Alligator mississippiensis: one gene and its partner. Each later gene encodes a partner of the first gene's protein in a complex. Links are inferred from orthologs where the notes say so. Each region holds a gene or a part of one and is shown on either strand. Other genes may lie near its edges.

What was found.
Region 2: EMC10 (region 1) and EMC9 share a complex: the UniProt entries of both Homo sapiens proteins name them as parts of the ER membrane protein complex. The link is inferred for Alligator mississippiensis from reciprocal best matches to the Homo sapiens genes EMC10 and EMC9.

The regions. Positions count from the first base shown.
Region 1 is NC_081828.1:40,239,405-40,247,528, forward strand, and holds the start of EMC10 (ER membrane protein complex subunit 10), read left to right. Parts: upstream 1-5,122; coding exon 5,123-5,209; intron 5,210-5,862; coding exon 5,863-5,929; intron 5,930-6,318; coding exon 6,319-6,431; intron 6,432-6,701; coding exon 6,702-6,806; intron 6,807-7,094; coding exon 7,095-7,276; intron 7,277-7,407; coding exon 7,408-7,501; intron 7,502-8,124. Other genes in the region: MYBPC2 (myosin-binding protein C, fast-type), read left to right, coding at 1-16, 298-457, 850-986, 1,482-1,668, 2,163-2,413; GARIN5A (Golgi-associated RAB2 interactor protein 5A), read right to left, coding at 2,770-2,992, 3,383-3,589, 3,989-4,134. UniProt on the Homo sapiens protein: Part of the endoplasmic reticulum membrane protein complex (EMC) that enables the energy-independent insertion into endoplasmic reticulum membranes of newly synthesized membrane proteins.
Region 2 is NC_081830.1:7,802,677-7,810,566, reverse strand, and holds the start of EMC9 (ER membrane protein complex subunit 9), read left to right. Parts: upstream 1-4,717; coding exon 4,718-4,918; intron 4,919-5,417; coding exon 5,418-5,494; intron 5,495-5,571; coding exon 5,572-5,641; intron 5,642-5,951; coding exon 5,952-6,046; intron 6,047-6,249; coding exon 6,250-6,430; 3' UTR 6,431-7,890. Other genes in the region: PSME2 (proteasome activator complex subunit 2), read left to right, coding at 48-95, 281-313, 401-463, 550-636, 711-750, 822-919, 999-1,067, 1,288-1,355 and 3 more. UniProt on the Homo sapiens protein: Part of the endoplasmic reticulum membrane protein complex (EMC) that enables the energy-independent insertion into endoplasmic reticulum membranes of newly synthesized membrane proteins.

The DNA of each region.
Region 1 (8,124 bases):
CGACAAGAAGACCATGGTGAGAGGGACCCCTTGTTCTTTCTCTCACCAATCCAACCCTCCCACTGCCTCTGCCCTGAACCCCCTCACCTAGGGGCATATCCCAGCCCCCTCTTTGAAGATCTCAGGCCAGAAGATCATTGCAAAAGGGAATCCCTGCCCTGGCTCCCCCATACATGAGATTCTCCACAGCCCCTCATCCTGAGGCCCCCTTCCCCATTTGTGGTTGTAAGCTATGCTCTGCAGAAAGTCATCAGTGTGATACCCCTTGGTGACCGTCCCTACCTCCATCCCCCCTAGGAGTGGTTCACGGTGTACGAGCACAACCGGCTAACACGCTGCACTGTGTCAGACCTGATCATGGGCAACGAGTACTACTTCCGTGTGTACAGCGAGAACATCTGTGGGCTCAGCGACTCGCCTGGCATCTCCAAGAACACCGCCTTCATCCACAAGACAGGTCTGATGGATATTGGGGTTCTGACAGGCCAGAGCAGGGCTGGAGCCATTCAGCCAGCAGGAAGGGGTTGGGAGATGGCACACCTTGATTCTCTCCCCAGGCTGGGGGTGCATGGGGTCTAGCGGGTTAGAACAGGGCTGGGAGCCAGGGCTCCTGGGGTCTCTCCCAGCATTGGAGCAGTAGCGTCTCAAGGGCTGGAGCAGCAGAGCTGGGAGCCCAGACACCTGGGTTGCACACCAGCTTTGTGAGTGTGGCTATAGCAGGGAGGCTGGGAGCATAGATACCTGGGTTCCAGTGGGGTGGACCTAGCCAGGCCAGGGAGGGGAGTGGGGGGCATGGGACTGGCTCTCCATGTCCTCACTCACCACCCTTCTTTTGGTGCCCCCACCCAGGGATCATGTATAAACCCATGGACTACAAGGAACATGACTTCAGCATGGCGCCCCAAATCTTGACACCCCTGGTTGACCGCACTGTGGTGGCTGGGTACAGCACAGCCCTGAACTGTGCAGTGCGGGGGCACCCCAAGGTACACAGTCCCTCTTGGTCAGGGACTCTCCACCCAAAATTTTCCTACCCACTGGGGTCTGGGGAGGGCACCAACACCCTGAACCTGGTAACATGAAAGGCTGGAGGTGAAGCCTTACCTTCCCCTGGCCCCAGACTGGTCCTCTCTGGAAGGAGGTGTTCATAGAGTGCCAGGGGAAGCTTGTAGTTTATCTTTGGGATCACACACTTGATTGTGGGGTAGGTGAGATTGGGGATCCCTCCCCCCAGTGTGGATGTAGGTGGAAGGTAGTTGAGGGACTGGGGATCCTCCCCAGTATTGGTGTAGCTGCTGGATAGCTAGTGGACTGGGGGTTTCCTTCCTGGTCAAGTGTGGGGGGTAGGTGGGAGGGGTCTGAGGTCTCTGCCCCCCTTGTGTGTGGGGTGGGGGTCACTTGCCCCCCACTGTGGTTGGGGGAGGTTGGAGGCTGTATGATGCCCCTCTCTTCCATCCACGATGCTCCTCCCACCCTCCCAGCCTAAGGTGATCTGGATGAAAAACAAGATGGAGATCCGTGAGGACCCCAAGTTCCTGATGAAGAACAACCAGGGTGTCCTGACGCTGCACATCCGCAAGCCCAGCCCCTTTGATGGGGGCACCTACAGCTGCCGGGCTGTCAACAACCTGGGCGAAGCCCTCACTGAATGCAAGCTTGAAATCCGAGGTGCCTGCTAGGCTGGGGAGCGGGCACGGGGAAGCTGGCAGGGCTGGAGGGGCAAGAGGTGTTGGGGTCAAGCTGAGGGTGTGAGGTGTCTATGGGCTGGGGAGGATGAGAGGTGCCCATTGGGTGGGCAGTGAGGGAGGGGGTGGCTGGAGGCAGGGCTGCCTGTCTGCCCACCTAAGGCTGTCTGTCTTTCCCTCCTGCAGTGCCCCAGTAAAACCCAAAGTGCAGCCACTTGCCTGGGGAGCAGTGAGTTGGGGAGAGGCCTATGGGGGAGTGGGGAGATGGGGAAGGGGGCTCTGAAGCCCTGGCTAGCAGGGCAGAGGCCATTGCTAGTGGGGGAGGGGGAAATGTGCCTAACACGGGAAGGAGGCTCTGGGGCCGTGCCTAGCGAGCGAGACGCTGTGGCTAGTAAAGAAAGGGCGTTTGGGGGCTGTGGTTAATGGGGGCCAAGGGCTCTGGCCTCCTTCACCTCACTATTCTCTCCCTGCTCACAGACCCCCGGACAGCAAGGACTGAGTGCCATGCCCTGCCCCTGCCCCCAAGGACAGCAGTGTGGCAGGGTGAGGACATGCACACAGAGAAAAGGGCACCACCTCCTGCCACCTCCCTACACCCCATCAGTGCCAACTGGGGGGGGGGGGGGGGGGGGGGGGTCAGCTATTCCTATCCCCCCCCCCCCTACTGGAGCAGAGCCCTGACTCCCCTCCCCTGCAGCTCATGCTTGGATTTCCTCACCCCTCACTGAGTCTGTGTCTGTCCATGAGTCTGTCCCAGTATCTGTCAATAAATGGAGCCCAGAGCTCCCTGCCAGGCCCTGCTGAGTCCATTTGTCCTTTGAATTGATGGGGGCAGGGGAGAGGCATGGGAGGTACATGGAAAGGAACCAGTGAGTCTGGGGTGGTGGGTGTGTTAGAGCAGGGGGCTGGGAGCCAGGACTCCTGGGTTCTCTCCTGGCTCTGGGAGGGCAGTGGGCTCTGGTGGGTTGTACGGGGGCGCTCCGTGCATTAATGGGGTGCAGCATTGAGGTGGCTTGACTACAGTTCCATCATGGGACTTTATTGAAGGGCTCCCCGCTGGTCTGTGGGGGATGGTGCAGCTTCTCTAGGACTTTTCCTTCTCAGACAGAAAGCTCTGGTCACTGGAGTCAGGTTCTGATGGTAGGGAAACAGTGGAGGCTCTGCTCACTATGGAAGCTCTGCTCAGCTTGGAAGCTCTGCTCAGCTTGGAGGCCTGTGCAGCTGGCTTCTCAGAGGGCTTCAATTTGGAGGGGGCTGGTTCTGCTTTGCGCCCCCCTCTTCCTTTTCCCTGAGGTACTGGAATGTCACTATGGGGGAAGGGAGGAAAGACAGATCACAGGCAGTCAGGATACCAGGGTTCTATCTAAACTCTGGGAGAGTGGGGGCTGAGAGGTTACTGCAGATGGGGCTGGGAGCCAGGATGGCTGGGTTCTCTCCCAGCTCTGGGTGGAATGGGGTCTGATGAGTTACAGCAGAGGGAGAGGTTGGGGGCCAGGGTGCCTGGCTTATATCTATGCTCTGGGAGGAGAGGGTGGGGGTCTGGTGGGGTTAGGAGCCAGGATGCCCAGGTTCTGGGAGCAGGCAGCAGGGACACGTGGGGAAGACCTGGGGTAGCGCCTAAGCCAGGCTGGCCCCCCACAGTAGCCAGTCTCCCCTGTTCCTCATCCTGTCCATCTCTTACCTAACCCCAGACTCACCGGGTCCCTTTAGCCCTCGGCACTGCCCCAGGACACTGGTAGCGCAGACGGTAGAGTAGCCGCACCCACTGGCTGAAGATCTGCTCCAGCTGGGCCAGTGGAGCCAGCAGCTGCAGGTAGAAGGTCCGGCCGGAGGCCAAGCGCACCTTGAGCTGGTACCGGTCCTCACTGTGGATGGAGAGGTGGACGAACTGCAGGGGCAGCATCCTGGGGGCAGTCAGGGAAGGTCATTAGTGGGGGGGGGGCACTACCAGGGTATCAAGTTGGGGGCAGCCTGTTAAGAGACTTGGGGGGGGGGGTGTGCGTATTTGCAGTTGGCTGGCACCTCAGGGCAGCTACAGTATGGGGCCAGGACTGCAAAGGGTGTGGGTGAGGGGCACTGGGGACTACTTCTGGGGAAGGCAAGGACATGGATTAGGGGCTACTGGGGGGGATATTAGGGGCATGGGGGAGGCAATAGGATGCATTAAGAAGTACCAGGGGGCAGCAAGAGGGGGTTATAGGGATGTGGGGGAAGGCACCTGCAGACAGGTAAGAAAGCATGGTTAGGGGCTCCACTGGGGAGGGGGCTGCAAGGCTGGGGAGGAAGGTATAGGTAGGACTCACCCAAAGAGCTCCAGCTCCTCCCCTTCTGGCGGCAGCCCCAGGGCACAGCGACAGCGGCAAGGCGCCAAGCCGGGGCCCACCACAGGCCGTGCCAGCAGCAGGAGGTCAGGCAGCTCCAGCCTAGGGCTGGTGGCAGCAATGCCCATGGTCACCCTGTTGGCCAGGTCCCCCCGCTTGGTCACCTGCAGGGAGATGGGGGTGGGGGGGGAGGTGCAGGGTCACTGTGGGATGGGGAGTGGGGCAGGAAGGCTGGGGACAGGGGCAGGAAGGGCTGAAAGTCTAGTGGGCTGGGCAGCACTGGGGTGAAGGATGGAGAGTAGTGGCAGGGGACAGGGGCAGGGCTGGGCTGGAAATGGAGGGGATGGGGCGTGGGGGCTGGGGCCCAGGCTGGGATGGGCTTGAAGTGTGGGGGGTGGAGATGAGAGGGCTGTGGGGCAGGAACACTGAGGGCAGAGCTGTAAGGGAGGGAGGGGGGGCATGGAGATACTGGGGGAGGGTGGGAAGGGGGAGAAGTGGGGCAAAGCCCTGGCAGGGATGAGGAGCAGTGGAGGGGTAGGGGGAGGCTGGGCTAGCAGTGGGGTGGGGGCACCCAGGGCAGAAGAGGGATGCTGGGAGTAGGGTGGGGATGGGCAGGGCTGAGGGCAAAGTGGGGGGGTGCTGAGCCTGCAGTGGGGTGGGGGTCAGAGGGCAGAGCAGGGGCCACTGGGCCAGGACAGGGCTGGGCAGGGCTGCCTGGGGCTGGGGGGCTCACCTGGAGGAAGTTGCTCTCGAAGAGGGGGCAGTGGTGCAGGGGCCCATACTCCCCGCGTGCCAGGCACTGCTGCAGCCCCCCAGGGCGGGTGCACAGTGCAGCGTGGGGCTTCCCCTCCAGGGTGGGCTAGAGCCTGTGGGGGGGCACATATCAGGCAGGGCAGAGCAAGGTGGGTGGGATCCATCCCGTCCCCATAGCGCAGCCGGTGTCATCCCCAGCCTTGGAGACGGGTCCAAAATGACGGCGGGGTTGGAGGTTGTCGAGGTCCAAGATGGTGCCGGCCCCAAGCTGGCACGTCCCCCTCCGCCCCACGTGACTCCGCGGCTCGCCACCATCCCAGGGTGCCCCGCGCGGCGCGTCCTCCCCCTCACGTGACGCGGGCCATGGCGGCGCGGGTGCTGGCGCTGGCGCTGCTGGTGTCGCTGCTGCCGCCCGGGGCTGGCAGCGCCGCGTCCTGCCGGGGCCTCCGGGTGAGTGCGGGTGGACGCGCTGGAAAACGCATTCGCCTCAGTAATATTCACCGCAGTCGCCGAGGCCGAGGGAAGACGGCTTGTTAATATTCACGAGGGGGCGGGGCCTCTGTAGGGAGGGGGACACGACGCTCGGCCTGGGACCTCATGAATATTCGTAGTAGGAGGAGTATTCAACGGACTTATTAGTTGTCACTCATTAATATTAATAAGCAGCCAGAGAATAGTGGCAAGTGCGGCGCGTCATGACTATGTATGAGCATCTGGTTAATAGTGTGTGGGAGTAACACCATGTGTTGCATGGTGATGAGCTGCCTAGTTGAGGGGGATTTGAATTATCAATATTCATAAGTGGGTCATTAGCAGGGAGGTGTGGAGCTGAGCCCCAACCTCATATGACTAATATTCACAAATGCTTTAGCTAGATCTAATTAACATTCATAATGATTTACAAATTCTGCCATGACTGGCACAACAGAGGCGGGCAGGCCAGTCACAGGGCTGTTAATATTAATGAATTTGTATTAATATTAATGAGCCTGTTCACCAGCGACCCTTGTGGGGATGCCTGGGTTACATGGGGGAGGGTGGGGCCTGGGTGCCATCCAGGACTCAGAGGGGTTGTGCTGATCAGTGTCCCCTGTGCCCTGCAGCCGGGCGAGGGGCGGGACTCTGAGGCCTGTGGCATCACCCTGCAGCTGGAGCACTCGTTCGAGCTGAGTGAGTCAGGGAGGGGACGGGTGTCAGGCTGAGATCCCCTCCCTGGGTGTTATGGCGGGGCAGGGGTGGTGGAGAGGGTAAGAGGGTTTACAGTGGCAGGGAGGGGCTCTTGTCTCATGAGGATACTGCAGGGCATGGCAGGGGGAGGGGAGGACAGGGTTCAGGGAGAGTAAAGGGTGGTTGCTGGGGGCATGGATCGTGGCATTAATTCCCTGAGTGGGTTGTGGGAGAGGACGGATGGTTGACATGGTGGGGAGGCTTCCTGCTGAAGGGAGCTGAGGGGCTGGGGTGCAGCGGGGAGATGAGGGGGAATCTGCATCCTCTCTCAGGGAAGGGGAGGGGGCCGGTGGGAGGGTGACTCCTTGTTGTGCTCTTACACCACTCCTCAGATGACAGCATCCACTTCCGGAAGCGGGGCACCCTGCTCTGGACCCTGGCGCCTGATCCCAGTCTCTCGCTGTCCCAGAAGCAGCTGAGTGAGGGGGAGCGCAACTTGCTCAGGGTGAGGGCTGGGGAGTTCTCAGCATGGCTGGTGGGGGCATACATGGAGGGCCTTCTCCTTGTGGGGAAGCTTTTACCCTGCTCTTTGGGGCCAGGAAGGAAAGCTGTTGTGTGGAAGCAGGGAGGGTGAGGCTATGTAGCCCATAGGAGGGGCTGGGGCAGGGAAGGGGGTTTGGGGGATGCTGGCATCTCATCCCAAAGAATGGAGGGTGGGTGTGTAGCTGGGGGGTGAAATATATGGCTCATCCTGATGGTGTCCCCTGCCCTCAAGGAAGTGGCGGCGCTGAATGGGCTGTATCGTGTCAGGATCCCTCGCTGGCCCTTGGGAGCTGCAGATGAGCTTGCTACTGAGTATGTCACCTCCTTCGTCCGAGCAGTGAGTGCCCCTAAGACGTCACCCCCAGCCAGCCCCATTTGGCTTCTTGGTGATTTCAGTGGATGGGCTGGGGTGTCTGGCTGGTTCCCTCTCCCCAGGGGTCCTTCCTGCCTTTCCCCCACCCTTGGCTGGTTCCTCTTGGTTGCTAAATCCTCCAATCCCAGCTCCCTTGTGGATTGAGAGGCTGGTGGCCTACCTGTGGCTGGAGGCTGGGGGTAGGGCAGAGCACAAAGAGGGAGAAGGGGAAGATGTCTCAGTCCTGCTGACCCCATCCCCTCTCACCCCTAGTGCTCATTAGTGGAGTCTCACATCTCGGACCGGCTCACGGTGCACACAGATGTGGCTGGGAACGTGATCGGCATCTCCATTGTCACCATGCCTGGCTCCTGCCATGGTGCTGAGGTGGAGGATGTGGACCTGGAGGTCTTCAACACCACTGTGGTGCTACAGCAGCCAGTGCCAGCTGCTGTGTGAGTGCAGGGACAGGGCCGGGACCCGGGAAGGAAGGGAGTTGAGGACTGGGGTGTGCAGCAGGGAGATGACTGGGTTGGGTGGGGGCTGTACCCTCTCTGACAGGCTTCCCTCCCTCCTCTTCCCCCAGCCCTGAGACGGCAGCATTTATCGAGCGCATGGAGCAGGAGCAGGCGCAGAGAGCCAAGAACCCGCAGGAGCAGAAATCTTTCTTCGCCAAATATGTGAGTGCGGGATCCTGAGTCTGGCATCGGAGACCCCCAGCACAGCCTTGGGACCCAGCATAGCACTAGGACCCCACTTTCACAAATACTTAGCCCTTTTAGGAATCCCCCAGCACAAGCACTGGGATCCCACCTTTAGGGAACCCCCATCTACTGGACCAGGCTTCCACCAACTACCCCACCTCCCTACCACACAGAACCACACAGGGATCCTCTCACCCAAAACCTCCAACCAGTGCTGCACCCCTCCCATACAGTCCCTTCCTACAGATTATCCCCCACCTTGTGCCTGGTTGACATGTGCTCTCCCCCCACCCCCCCTGCAGTGGCATTTAATATTGGGCGGGGCCGTGCTTCTCCTGGCCACCAACTCGGTCAAAGCCCCGTGGGAGCCTGGACGCCAGCCTTGAGCAGCCAAGTAAACCCCCTGTCTCCACCCTGCTGGCTTCTTCCCCCTGTACCACCCTGCTCCCCCATCCCCTTCTGGCCCCATCCAGCAGGGAGCAGGAGGTGGCATGGCTGTTGCACATCCCTCCTGCCAGGCCAGCCCACTCCCCATCACTGTCTCGCTGGTAATGGACAGGGAGGAAGATCTTTGTCCAGGGGCTCTCCCATTGCTGATT
Region 2 (7,890 bases), on another chromosome or scaffold:
GAGCGAAAGCGAAAGGGGCGGCGGGACACACGGTCCAAGACACGATCATGGCCAAGGCCTGCGCCCTGCGCCCCGCCGGGGGGGCCGCCAGGAAGGTGGGCCGTGACGTCACGGGGACCCCCACGAGGGGTGCATCTGAGGCCAGATGGGGCTTGGGGGCTCCCCGAAAAGTCCCCAGCCTGGGGGGGGGGTGACCTGGGGCCAGATAGAGGGGCATTACGCTTGGCGTGTGCCACCCCAGAGCCAGCTGCATTTCTGATCCTTCTCACCCTGCCCCCAGGTGGCTGCCTTCCAGGAAGCCCTCTTCAAGGAGGTAAGTACCCCCCAGCCACCCCCCCCCCTTATTGCCCCTCCAAATACCTGCCCCATGTGACTCCCTACCCCGGTTTTTCACCCCCAGGCTGAAGAGTTCCTGGCCACGTTCCTACCCCAGAAAATCCTGCAGCTGGACAAGCTCCTGAAGGTATGAAATTGCCACCCCCTCTCCTCTGGGGGTGTTGTTATACCACCTGTCCTCACTAAATTTGCCCCACTCAACTCCCCGCCCAGGACAAGGCTCTGAACGTGCAGGATCTCTCCAGCCTCCGAGCCCCGCTGGAGATCCCCATCCCTGACCCGCCCCCCAAGGATGAGGAGGTGAGTGGGAGGGTGCTCATTCCCCCACTTGGGATGAGGGGGGCGGCAGAGGGTCTGATCGCTGCTTTCTGCAGGCCAGCACCATGGAGACCGACAAGGAAGAGAAGAAAGAAGGTGAGTGTTGTGGGTGGGGTTGGGGGGTGCTTTGGGGTTTACCCCCCCTGACTTCTCTGTATCTCACTCAGCCCCCAAGTGTGGGTTCCTGAAGGGCAATGAAGCCATTGTGGCCCTGCTGGACCGGGTCAAGCCTGAGGTGCTGACACTCAAGGAGAAGTGCATCCTGGTGAGAGAACCCCCCAGCCCCCTGCAGGGCTGTGAGCTTCCCCACAGTAGTGCCCTTACTACCTTGCTTCATCCTGCAGGTGGTCACTTGGATCCAGTACCTGATCCCCAAAATCGAGGATGGCAATGATTTTGGGGTGGCTGTGCAGGTAAGGAGGTGCCCACCCCCCAACTTCCTGCATCCCAGATACCTGGGGACCCCTAATCCAGCTATTCCTGGATTCCCAGAGGCCTCCAGCCCAGGTGCCCCCACCCCGTGCCTCCCCGGACTCCCACATGCCCTGAACCTCCAAAACCCCTGGGGGTCCCTAGCCCAATCATTCCTGCCCCACCCCACCCCACTCCACCCCCGTCTCCCTCTGCCCCCAGGAGAAGGTGCTGGAACGAGTGACAGCTGTGAAAACCAAGGTCGAGGGCTTCCAGACAGCCATTTCCAAGTGAGTCAGGCTGGGGCATGCTGGGTAGTGCCCCCCACCCCATGACACCATGAGTTACATGTGCTCTGCCCTGTGGTAATGTCTGTTCCCCCAGCCCAAGGTTGTGGGGAGCAGGCTTCCTGCCCCAGGGCATTATGGGTAAGGAGCTGGGAGCACCTGGTTGGCCTTGGTGGGGGCTATACCTTTTCCCTACTTCAGCTTCCCTGCCCCAAGGCATTGTGGGTAGCAGCACCACATGGGTGCCCATGGCCACAAGGCATTCTGGGTAATGGTCCCAGGTTGGTGTCAGCACCCCACAGCATTGTGGATAGCTGCTCCTTATGGGTGCCCATGCCCTCAAAGCATTGTGGGTACTGGTTCTGAGCACGGCATTATGGGTATGACCCCTGAGCGCTCTCTCTCCTTGCCCCCCCCAGGTACTTCTCTGAACGTGGAGATGCTGTGGCCAAGGCCTCCAAGGAGACCCACGTGGTGAGTGATTCAGCCCCCCGGGGCTGCAAGCTTCCTCCCGCAGTTCCTTCCGTCAGTCACCTCAGTGCATTGGATGCTGCAGACTTCCCTTGAACAGTGCCCTCCCCCAGCAGCAGTGGCAGGCACCCCAGTGCTGCAAGCTTCCCCCAGGAGTGCATCCCAGTCTAACCAGTGCCCTCTCCCCAGATGGATTACCGAACCCTGGTCCATGAGCGTGACGAGGCAGCCTACAGAGACATCCGAACCATGTTGCTGGACATTCGGGGCTTCTATGTGAGTTGCGGAGAGGGGGGTAGGGGGCTCTATTTTCTCTCTCCCCCTCACCTCACCCCCTGCTCTGTCCCCACCAGGCCGAGCTCTACCACATCCTGTCGGAGAACCTGGAGAAGCTGACGAACCCCAAAGGGGAGGAGAAGCCGTCCATGTATTGATGATGCAGCGCGGCCACAGCTGCCCCCATACCTGCCCCACGGTGGGTGGGAGAGGGAAGGGGCACAAGGTGGCATTTACAGGCAATGCAAATAAATGGTTTTCTCAGACATGGCCTGGTGTGTGCATCCCTGTCCTGAGCTGTCATGGGGGAGATGACACCCCTTGTGTGTCATGGGGCATGGGGGCCTGTTGGCATGTGCCTCAGTATTGTGGGTAGGACCTCTCAGATGGAGGGCAGCACATCCGCCTTCCTTGTTGCCCTCTGTGCCCCAAGACATTGTGGGTAACGCCCCTGAGGTGCCCTCCCCCCATGGCTGGCTATTGCCTGTGACCTCAGGGCTCAGGTGCCTGCATCCCAGGGCACTGTCGGTAATGAGCACTCGTTGGCATCTGCCACAGGACACTGTGGGTATGGTGGGGGGCCTGTTAGTATCTACTGCAGTGCACTGTGGGTAATGGAGACCTAGTAACATCTGCTCCAGGGCACAGTGGGTAATGGGATGTTATGAAAAACCTGATGCTATTCAGTCTTTTGAGAGACAAGACTACATCCCATTTATGATAAGGGTTTTGCCTGCTCAGACACAGAATTCAGTGATGGTTCCACTTCCCTTATTGACTACCATTTTTGTACCCCCAGACAAGATACAACCACATTTCCCAATGCTCCTCCATTCCCTCTGCCTGTAAAGCTTTACGACAACCCAAGTCACACAGAGGCAAGAAACGTCTAACAACCCAACCTTGTACTGATTATACCCCAAAGCACAAGAATAAGCACTTGTTTCTATATCTGTTTTGCTACTGGCAACAGCACAATACAAATTCTCACCTCTAGTGGCCAGGTGAGATGCAGGAGGGAGGAGAAAGTTGGCTTGCACGCTGGCAGCAGCCCTAAAGACTCCCCCTGTTCACACTCAATATGTGGGTTATTTAAATAAATATTCTGATCAGTGTTATTCAAATGTCTTTGTTTCACTGAAACTTTGGGAATGGAACCAGTTTTCCTGTGGGCTCAGAAGAGGCCAATTTGCTAGTGAAAATTTCAATCCAGGGAGAGGGAACTTCTCTCTTTCCCTCACCATCTGGGAATGCTCCTTGCCACGTTCTGCTGCTTTTACTTTGCTGACAAGGCCAGTTCTAACATTAATTCATGCTGGAACAGGCTTTGTGGCCTGCTCTAGCCACACTTCTACAGGTGTGCCCAGGGGTAGAGGTCGCTAGCCCTCCCGGGTCCCTTGAAACAGCACTATACCTAAACTCCCGGCGGCCTCAGGTGAAGTTTTAGTATCAGGCCCCAATAACGATAACGGTAATGATAAAGAGATATAATAATAATATAGAAATTATGATAATAATAAGAACAATTACTATTTTTGGGCCCCCTTTCTGTCCAGGCCCCAGGCAGCTGCCCAGTTCGCCCATGCCTGTGTCCAGCCCTGCCTTGAAAACAGCCAAACCTAGCAACAAGTTAACAACAAAAATGCACAATTATTGCACGAGATTTCTACCTATGTGCAACTCACTTGCTATCAAAGGCAAAACATCAATCATTCCTTCTAGGTACTGTTGCACGCTTTTCCAAAAAGCAGTTATTTGTTCTGGACCTAATCTAATATTCATGGCTTGATAAACAGATTCTTGTTCTATTTGCCCAGGTGACTGCTTGTTATTTAAATGCAAGCTTATTATTGATGTTGTGACTCAGGCTTTTGCTCAGTCCACAGTCAGCAGTAGCTGGTGTGCTCTGTCAGGTCCAATCCATATGCTACACTTACAGTATTGCCAACTCATGATTTTTGGCACTGTTCTTAAAGTCTATGCTTTGGGAATGTGAAAAACTTAGCTCTTCCATATAAAAGAAAGCTGTTTTTCACATTGCTGAAGCATACACTTTAAGAACAGTGCCAAAAGTCATGAGAGTTGGCAACATTGCACTTATGACGTGATTAACCACTTAATCTTGTCTTGTCACCCAACCGTATGTGCGCAGAATCCTAGAGGAGTGGGGCTGGAAGGGACCTCCAGCGGTCAGCTAGTCTAACCCCCTGCCTGAGGTAGGATCATCCCTATGCAAACCATCCCATACACTCATAATTAAGCAATTAATAACATGATACAAGGAGGAATAGCCAATGCAGGGCACTAAGGGTACCTATCCGCCATCCCCACTCAGGCGCAGAGCATTAACCCCCCACAACTGAGGGCCCCGCAGGGCAGGCTGGGGAAGGCCAGCGGGTGGCGCTAAGCCCGGAGAGAGGCCGCTTCTCTCCCGCACTGGCCGCTCTAGGCGCCCCCTCGCTGCTCCTGCGAGAAGCCGCGCGGGGAGGCGCTGGCGCGGGCTGGCAGCCACTCAGCGTGCCGGCCGTGTGGCAGGAGGCGGGAGCAGAGCCGTGCCAGCCAATGGCGAGTGGCGGCGAGGCTGGGCGCTGGCGGGCGGGCAGGCGGCCGGCGGGGCGATGGCGGAGGTGGAGCTGTCGGGCCGCGCCTACGCCAAGATGGCGCTACACGCGGCGCGGCACCCGGCAGCGGCTGTCAGCGGGCTGCTGCTGGGCCGCCCCGCGCCGCCACCCGCGCGCTGTCTCTGCTTGGCCGACTGCGTGCCGCTCTTCCGCGCCGCGCCTGTGCTCCGCCCCATGCTGGACGTGGCGCTGCACCAGGTGCGGACGGGGCGGGGCCCTCTGGGCTAGGGGTAGGGTCAGGGGCCACAGGGACAGGGAGGGGGCGGGGAAAGCGGCAATGACGGCAGGGGGAGGGGCCACAGGGAGAGTGACAGGGAAAGGGCGGGGCAAGAGGCAGAGTTGTCAGGGGGCGGGGCCACGCGGTGTGTGTGGGAGGGGCCTAATGCGGGGCAAGGGGCGCTGTGCCCACAGTGGGGGTGAAGGTGCCGGGGGTCCCTGTGGCCCCATCCTCTCTGGCAGGGGACTGGTGCCTCCTGAGTCCTGGGGGGCACAGTCTGTGGGTGGACCTGGGGCGAGCCAAAAGCCCCATATCCACCCCTATACTTTTCTGCCGCAGCTTAGTGCCCCCCCTGCTCAACACGCCACCACCCTGCGGGGCAATAAAACTGCCAGGTCTTGAGCGGTACCAAGTCAGGGGCCACTCTTGTGTGGGGCGTGTGCCCTCCGTCCTCCCCCTACCTGTCGCCTGTGCCCGCAGGTGGAGGCATGGGGGGCAACGCAGGGCCTGCTCCTGGCCGGGTACTACCAGGCGGGCGCGGGGCTGGACGAGCTGAGGTGAGTCAGGGGTCCTCGGGTGCAAGAAAGGGGGGGGAAGGTCAGGGGTCCCGCTGACCCCTGTGTGCCCCCCACAGCCCCCCGCCCCTGGCGCAGCGCGTGGCAGGGCGCCTGGCCGAGCTGTGTGAAGGTGCCGTGCTCATCATGGTGAGACTGGGGGTGGGGGGAGTGAGGTGAGGGGTGGGAGCCTGGGGACTGGGATCACTGGTTCGGTGGTGGTGGAGGCTGGGGTCAGGGGTCGGGAGTGGGGGGAAGTGCTAGAATCATGGTTGGGGGCAGTGGGATTGGGTGCTGGGGGCTGGGATCAGGTGTGGGAGGGATCCTGGGGGGTGGGGGCTGGGGTGCAGCGGAGGCCGGGACTGAGTGCTGTGGGTGTGGGGTGCTGGGGGTGGGATCACAGGTTCAGGGGTGCTGTGGGGTGCTCCCCCCCTTCTCTGACACTCTTCCTCCCCCCCAGCTGAATAACCGGAAGTTCACCATGAGCCCCCGTGTGCCCCCCATCCTGGTGCTGGAGCAACGGGACCGGCAGTGGGTCCCCAAGGACAAGAACTTGTGAGTGAAGACACCCGCACCCCTAGCCCCCCTCTTCTGTAGGCTCCCCCATTGCCCTCTCACGAGACATGACCCAGGCGTCCAGGCAGCTCGCTTGTCAAGGGAGGAGGGACCCAGGCATCATGGCTCTGTCCCCTCCCCCACTGGTGTTTGCAGGAGGAACCCAAGCATTCAGGGCTAACTCTCCACCCCCACCCCCCCAGGGTCATGTGGCAGGACTGGGAGTCCTCCCGCCGGGTCTGCCAAACCCTGCTGGAGGCCAAAGCTTATACCCAACTGGTTGACTTTGATGCCCACCTTGACGACATCCGGAGGGACTGGACCAATCAGCAGCTCAACGCTGAAATCGCCCAGCTGATGTCAGTGGCCAATGGCAGTGCCTGAGGTCTTCCATTGGAGGATATGGTGGGTGTGGCCAATGGGCTGCAGTCAGGTTGCAGCTCCGAGCTGCAGAGCCTTCCCATGCCTGACTTGGCAGCCAGTCAGATGTCCAGGATAGTCAGTACTGACCTAACCCCAGGCCAGACCCTCATTGCCCCCAGATATTAAAAAGCACAAAATGCCCCCAGAACAAGCAGAAAAGCAGGAATATTTAACCTCTGTGATGTAGAAAATATGAGTAATAAAAGTCCGTTTATTAAAACAGGAATTTTAACCCAAAAGCAGATCCGTTACTTTTTAATTCAGAACAAATTGAAAAACTTGTTCAGAGAAAGGTCTTTTAATTTGAGGTATTTTTGGTTTATTTTAGAATCTCTCTTGTTCCATAGAAAGACACTTATTTTGCATTTTTCTTCTTTCCTTCCTCACTCCACCATAATCCTCATTTTTTAAAGAGCTCAAAATGCCAAATACTGAAACGTGACAATCTGAAGAGTTTAAATGCGCCTTGTAAAGTGCTTTTTTTTGTGGGGGGGAAATAAGGATTTGATGTTTACATTTCCCTATTTTTTGTGTATACCTTGAGTTTTATTGAATATTAAATATGTTAATATATATTATTACATTAAATATATTATTTCTTCCTTTTTCAACACAACTATGTAACCATGTCAAAAACTATAAACTTGTGTGTGTGTGTGTGTATACATACGTAATACACTTCCTTCAATAGATTATTCTGATTTTTTATCTTATACTTTTGTTGCACAAATGCTTTTCTATTGAGTTTTGCAATCAAAACTCCTCATTTACTTAAAGAATTGGCCACAAAGTTACAGAAATGAGAAGCCAGAAATTTAACAAAGCAACTTGGAAACTGAGGGTTTTGTTTGTTTGTTTTGGCCGAGAAAAAGCATTTTTGTTTTGTTTAAAAAAAAAAGAAAAGATTTTTGGTCTCTATGAAAAATATGGTTTCTTTACTCAGTTATTTAAGAGTGATGTTGTAGTTGCAGTAGTCCAGGAATTATGCAAGAGAAAAGAATTTCTTAGTATGATATCTTTCATCCAGCCACCTGTGTATTTGGAATAAAAGTAGAGCCTTCTTTCCCGTTGACAGACCTCGGCTATTTAATTTCTTTTTACTTTTTTTTTTTTTGTAATCAGCTTTTGTATTTATACATCTTAATATTATTAAATTTACATGGCTGACATTTTAAATACAAGTATAAGTTACTTCAGTAAAATAAAATGTAATTTAATTTATTTGAGGTCCATTTAAACAACATTTAATGTATCAATAATATGTTGATTGCAAAAATCAAAGAAATAGTAAAAAAAAGTAGCAGAGGTTTCTCAATGGGAAATGTGACTGTAACTTTACCCCATTAAAAGTTAAATTAGCTTGTTTGTTTGTTTTTAATATATCTAAAGAAAGCTAGCAACATTTGTAGTTTTCTGTTACA